Linked DNA regions of Xenopus tropicalis. The protein of the gene in region 2 interacts with the protein of the main gene of each other region in a pairwise test. Links are inferred from orthologs where the notes say so. Each region holds a gene or a part of one and is shown on either strand. Other genes may lie near its edges.

The links. The genes of interacting proteins can lie anywhere in the genome.
Region 1: the proteins of spry1 (region 2) and gemin4 interact in binary tests that used the Homo sapiens proteins (3 or more experiments, as listed by UniProt). The link is inferred for Xenopus tropicalis from reciprocal best matches to the Homo sapiens genes SPRY1 and GEMIN4.

The regions. Positions count from the first base shown.
Region 1 is NC_030678.2:96,481,066-96,483,754, forward strand, and holds part of gemin4 (gem-associated protein 4), read left to right. Parts: coding exon 1-2,689. UniProt on the Homo sapiens protein: The SMN complex catalyzes the assembly of small nuclear ribonucleoproteins (snRNPs), the building blocks of the spliceosome, and thereby plays an important role in the splicing of cellular pre-mRNAs.
Region 2 is NC_030677.2:65,663,587-65,667,814, forward strand, and holds the start of spry1 (protein sprouty homolog 1), read right to left. Parts: upstream 2,809-4,228; 5' UTR 2,267-2,808; coding exon of another isoform or gene 2,253-2,266; intron 2,233-2,252; exon of another isoform or gene 1,272-2,232; intron 280-1,271; coding exon of another isoform or gene 225-279; coding exon 1-224. UniProt on the Homo sapiens protein: Inhibits fibroblast growth factor (FGF)-induced retinal lens fiber differentiation, probably by inhibiting FGF-mediated phosphorylation of ERK1/2. Inhibits TGFB-induced epithelial-to-mesenchymal transition in lens epithelial cells.

The sequences.
Region 1 (2,689 bases), on a different chromosome or scaffold from region 2:
AAATGGAAAGAGGATGTTTTCTTTCCAGTGGAAAACATGATCCCCAAAATAAGTCAAACTGTACTCTTTGAACTGCTCAAAACAATGAAAGCAGCAGACATTTGTGCAGAATTGCTGTTGGCACTTCCAGTTGGCATTTGGGCTGAAGGGGCCACCTCACTACTTCAGCATATTTGTGAAGAGACTTCAGTAGAGGATGTTGATTTTTTTTTAGATGTCTGGTGGGAGGTAATGAAAAGCAAGAGTGATGAGCAAAATGAAACTCTTGTGTTATTTTCCTCTGTGGTTTCCCAGTACTTACCAAAGTCTAGTGATGAACCATCACAGAGCGCCAAAAGATTTAAGTCAGATCCTGAACAGACTTTAAATCAAGCCGATAATATCCTTGCTGTTTTTCTAGAGGGGCTTCATAAAATGAAACAGTGTGTTGCTACCAACAAGCTGAGGTGCTTTACTATTGCAAATCTAGCTGAAATGTTATGCTCCTCAGCCTTTCTCGAAAAGGAGTCTGAGCTTCTGCCCATAAAATCATATTTAGAACAATTTGCAGTAGTGCTTTCCTTCTGTGAAAAAGGATCCAGAGATGTTGATATGATTAGAGTAGCAGAAAGGATGGTGCAGAGCGGAAGCACATCTTCAAGATTCCGCTTACTACGAGGTGCTCAGCATTTTGGTTTAAGCCTTCTCAAAGACCTTCTTTTTCAGTGGGGGGAGGAGTTAATTCATTATTTGAATAACAACAAAGTAGTTGGCTATGTATGTTACAGGATGAGACACAGCCTTGCATCTTTGCATAAAATCTTGAGAACGTTAGAAGATTCTGGTACCTACCCTGAAGAACAAAGAGGGGATGTACTGGAATTGGCACACTGCATTACAAGCTTTCAAGAGAAAACCACCCAAGTTCAACATGGATGTCCTTCTAATGCTAATGAAATGATGGCTTTTATTGCCATGAAAATTATTGAGAATAAAATGGACCGTTTCAAAGAAGTTTGTTCTGTCTTCGCCTCAGAAGTATCCTGGGCCTTCTCAAATGACTGGTTAAATTGTCTTGAGAAAAACAAAGCACATTTTCAGGACCCTGCAATGGTATTAAAATTGCTGGATCTCATAGTAACAGTTACTGCTTTACAAAGTAATGTGGATATTGGATCAGTACGAAAAGGCGCTGATGTCACATTAAGCATTTTTTCAGAACTTTCACTGTCTGAGAAGAATGAAGTGCTGAAAGAAGTTTTATCCTTATGGGGCAGAAAAGGGCTTTCTCCATCTATCAAAGCATTTACTGACAGTTTCCAAGATGAACTTAATATAACATTCAACCAAATTTCCCAAAGCCTTTCTGATTACAGTGCTGCTCAGGCCGTTTCAAAGGTGTCTAAACTGGCTTTGCTGAACCCGCAAGCAGTAGTAAAGAAAGCCTGTCATTTTGCAGTGGTAAATGTTGGTGCTCATACATTTTTAGCCAAGATATTGAGCTCCCTTCCAGCTTTATGCTTTAAGTGTCCTAATAATTCAGAAAAAACAGTCTCTCTGTTGTGTGAGTGCCTGATGGAAACCTGTTGGGGTAAGTTGTCTTCTGATAAGGAAGAGAGGCAGTTTTTAGCCTTACTAGCCTTTCTGATGGAATCTTCAGAAGTAAATGATAAGGATTCTTCTATCCAACTTCTCCAGCCAGCTGAAGTCATACAAACATTTGTTCTCCCGTACATTTTTGACGAATATGCTAATGTTGCGTTATGCTTGCACATACTTCATAAGGCTTTTAATGTTCAGAATCCTGAGGATGAATCTGGAAAACATTGGGTTTTATCCTGTTCCCCGTTTCCACTTATTATGTCATTATGTAAGCTTCTTAATTCCTACACAAAATGCTGGCAACTTTCTGAGAATTCACATTGCCTTACACTGGGCTCCAAAGAGTTAATCATTGACATTCTTACACTGATCATTAATGCAGTCATGCCCGAGGCTGGAAACAACTCTGAAACGTGGAACAAGTCACTCTTCTGGTTGCATAAAAAAATGGAAAACTTGGATTGGGTTGTATGTTTGAGGCTAAAACCAATATTTGGAAAACACTTTAAAAACGAAGTCCCATCTTCATTATTTGACGTTGGCAAACTGTCTGAGAGGGAATGGGTTCCTCTTCAGCTACCCGAGTATGGACCAGGCACAGGTCTTATGGCATGGCTGGAATGTTGCTGCATATCTGCAGAAATGAAAAACCAAATGCTTTCTCTTCTCTCTGTCAACAGCAAAGACCCTGAGGAGGTCAACCTTTTTAGTAAAGGTTTTCTGGTGGCAATGATCCAAGTTCTACCATGGTGTAGCTCAACAGAATGCAAGCTTGTTGCTGAGGTAGTGAGACATCTCCTTAAAAGACGACTCCTTCATGTACCCTACACTCTAGAATATGTACAGCATATGCCACTTTTGAATCTGCGACCATTTGCTTATAATCTCCAGTTCTCTGTTCTTCTTCTCAGAGGCTTTCAGCTTCTATGTAGTTCTAGTTGTTCTGATTGGCTACCTTTTGAAGGGCACAAACACATTGCAAGGCTTTATACTAACTGCATATTTGATATATTAGAGGCTGTCAAGCAGCAGATATCAGGAAATAAAAATGAGACCCAGACAGAAAGGAAAGAACAGGACTATGTTCAGGAGGCTTCCTTCTTTTATA
Region 2 (4,228 bases):
TCCTGCTTAATGTGCCTTGGTACAGTTTTAGGTCCAGGCTTTTTTACCATGGATGGGCCTTCTGTGTACTCATTCCTGCTCCGAAGAGCTTTGATCTGATCCAAGGACAAGATAGCCGCTGGCTGAACTTCTCGTTCATATTCCAACCGTTGCCGGCTGTCCAAAGATGGCTGCTGTATCACAACTAATGAACCACCAATGCCATGTTGACTTTGTAGCTCCATCTGTAGTGATCTTGATTTCTGGCATTCAACGTGAACTTGGCATGCATCTGAAAACCTGCCGATCAAAACACACAACAAAAGATAAATAATTTAGAACGGAGTTTTGGAGATAATATAAGATACAAATTCAAATCATCACAGCAAAAAATGTCAGATGACAGTTACAAGATAAACTACAAGCAAGGCAGATCACTGCATTTCCCCCCCATATCTAATATACTCCCATTACAATTTAATAAATCATGTTTTGCCATGTATGAAAGTCATTCTGCTTCTGCATGATGCAACTGGTTCAAGAAAAACACAAAGCCTCCAGATACCGTAGCACTTCAAGAAGTCACAGAATGGATTTCTCGTTTAGCTACTATACATCTGAACAAAGTGATTACTTGGTAATGATAACCTATCCTATGACTGGAAATGATATATTTCCAAAAGAGAAGACTTTTACCCCAGTAATAACTTTAAAAGAAATTCACCATACTAAAAGGGCTTCAGTCTTTCAGCGTATAATTCTGATAAAGGGGCTCTATCTTAATTTATTCTTGTTTAAAGCAAATTTAACTCCCAGAGTTTTGCCATGGAGAAATAAATAAATGTGATGCCTCCCTGTCAAATAATATTTACCTAAGGGCAGTTCTTGGTGACCAAAACAAAGGAAGAAAGGAGAGAAATAAGAGACAAACTAACTAACTAATCAGTCTGTGCTGCAAGTTCTGACCTCCTACTTATCTGTTCCAGTGATTCCCTAGGCACAAGTTTTTTAAGGCAAGCTGAGAAAATGATCTTTAAAGCTGAATATATATTCCCAAGCCCAGATGAGTGGCAGATGCTAAAAAGAGGGGTGATACCAGCTGCACCCAACCTCCAGAGCCAGGCAGTGCAAAGGTGCATGCCCACACTGCCCTGGCACACTAACACATCCTACAGCCCATTGGTGTCACACCTCCAGCTGCACAAGGCAAGCAAGCTAAAACGCTCTCACTGAAGAAAAGAAAGAAAATCGCACGATCTGAGGCTTAGAAAATGCCTATAAAATAACTGTACCGTGTGTGCCAAATGGATAACTAATCGTGCGACAATCGGAAGAGACGGAATGGGCAAATTATGGAGATGGATTGGGGTGGGGAGGGCTACAGAGAGAGAATCCGAATGATCAGAGAGCGAGAGACGGGAAAGGAAGGAAAAAGTTATGAATGAAAAACAAACCGTGACTGTGAGAAGGAGGAGGAGGAGAGGCGCTGATTGCCGCAGGGGGGCGGACTTTCCGCACATTCCAACCGCAGCACCCTTTCCCATCGGCTCCAGCTCGGAGCCCCAGAACAAGGCACCCCTTACGGGTTTCAGCACCCCATACCAGGTGTGCCAGCGTTCCCACATAGAGATTTCTCTGCGAATCTGTTTTATCGCCTCTTCACTGCCCCTACACTCACTCTTCTGGCAGTAAAGTGGCATCGGATCGATTTAACCAATCAAAGAATTAACATAAATAGCCCCTACCCTACACTAGTCCGACTACCTGCACCTACCACTAGGTGTCCCCATCCTGCGTTTGAAAGAAGTAGGGGCACCTAGCTCTAGGTCTGCGTAAACAGTTTATTTACACGTTTCTGTGCCAGGGACACCCAACTCGAATTGAAGCAACTTCAACCCTGCAGGCCCCTACTCTGACCCATGGCCTGCTGATATGTTACACTGCAGCAATATGTAGGCGTAAAGCAGCTGGGGGGTATCAAAACTGCATCCCTCCAGCTGTTGTAGAACAACAACTGCAAGTGTGGGTTGTAGGTGCCATTCTGAGAGCTGCAGTTCAGCACAGCCGCAGGTTGGTTGTGCATCCTTCTGAAAAGATATTACACGATTGGATATTTGTATCCAAGGGGCACATAAGATAGTGGGTCATGGGGCAAATACACTCTATCCCTCACTTGGGCAAGCCTGCTGGCATATTGGGAGTTTCAGTAAAAGATCCTTGCCTTATGGCCTTGCACCAGGAGCAGAGTATTATCCAGATATACAGACACTTACCTCTGTGCAAGCATGCACCAAGCAATAACACGTCCAACTCCAGGCTGCGGCAAATCCGATCGGAACTGGGGGGCTTAAGCATGGGACATGTCTCCAGTAAATCCCCAGGGCTGGCACTACTGTATCTGATTGTAGCAGCTTTCCCTCCGGGGGCCACAGTAATTAGGGCCAGGGTAGTCCTTGGAAACAAATAAATCCACAAACGCCAAGGTGGGCAGGAAAGGCAATTGCACCTCTGTCAGGGGTAGGAGCGATCCAGCAGGCAGGCACCGTAGGCTCCGTGTTGCTGCATGCGATGGGAGGAGGCACAAGGACTACAACACTTTTTCCTTATAATAACTCCTTTATTTCAGCCACAAGTAAACTCCAGCGATTCTTTTCTTATCGCAAAACGCTAACGTTATCAAGAGTCCTTTAAACAGAAAGCCGCGGCCCCACGCATATATTCCTCGGGTCGGTGTGCGAGCGCCGCTTAAATCCTCAGCACGGATAGGAAATCCACATGAGAAGCGATGGGCAGAGAATAAATGGTGATGAATGAGGGTGTCACCCTCGCAGCGATCACTCACAGCTCCACAGGGAACAACCTTCCACGCCTTGCGCTCTCCTGCCTCTGTATGAATGGATTCCTGGAACGCTGGGTTTGTTCCACAGCGGCCTTCTCATTGGCTCTCCGGAATAGTGTAGGGGAAAAAACACCAAACCTTCAGCTGCCGTGGCGGCGCTGATTGGATTAGAAGTGGGAGGGGCGGGGCAGTGGCGGCTGCGGTAGCTCAGAGCGAAATCGCTGCAAGGTGGATTTTAGCGGAGATTTCACGTGCGTCAGGTCGCTGTCACTGTTGTTCACCCGGGCGAAAAATGTGCCCACTTATGGGGTGATGGGTAGGCTTTTAGATTGGAACTCGCCCCAAACAGCCCTGTAATGGCCCTGTCAGCAGTACTTTGCGTGACTTCGGTCATTTACTAACAGCGCAGGGTGGCACTTACAAATCAAGGGACCCAAGGTCTGCAGGAAGGCTGGGGCAATAACTTGAAGGGCAGTCAGTAATAGTACTCGAAGGTTCGTCATCCCTGAATTAATTTTTAATTAATTGTTTTTTTTTTCCCAGAGGCCCCTTGAGATTTTGGGGATCCAGTGCACATAGCATTTTCAAACTCAATAGGCTGTAGTTTGTAATTTAATTTCTATGAATTCTTTATTAGCTCCTGGAGTTTTATTCTCAAGAAACTGTAGCGCAATACCATTATAGATCGGCTTAGTGGCAGCAACGCATTTTGCGCCTCTGTGATAAGGCTGAATAAATGCAAAATTGCAGGAAAGTAGTAAGGGCTGTGTATAAGGTATATAAGGGCCGTGTATAAGGTATATAAGGGCCGTGCATAAGGTATATAAGGGCCGTGTATAAGGTATATAAGGGCCGTGCATAAGGTATATAAGGGCCGTGTATAAGGTATATAAGGGACGTGTATAAGGTATATAAGGGCCGTGTATAAGGTATATAAGGGCCGTGCATAAGGTATATAAGGGCTTTGTATAAGGTATATAAGGGACGTGTATAAGGTATATAAGGGCCGTGTATAAGGTATATAAGGGCTGTGTATAAGGTACATAAGGGCTGTGTATAGGGGCGCAGAGAGTTAATGAGAGGGGCGCGCATAGCTTGCGTGTGTACCCGGGGAGTGTTGGATGCGCAGCTCCGCGCTGATGTGCCTGCACTTGTCTCCTGTGTGATCTTGGCAGCTTCACGTTTATTTCCTTAGGGAAGGAAGAACTGTGACCTGTCCCCCCCAGGGGGGAGCTTGAGTTTCCTGCAAATACACATTCCTTCCTGGGATTTCATAGTAGTAGGTCCGTCCTACCATTGCCACTACCATCCCTCCGCCCATTCCCATTGGCATGACTGCTTTGATGTATGGCCAGGACTGAAAGGGTCAACGGATACAGTCTAACTACATTGTATTTCTAGAATTGTGTG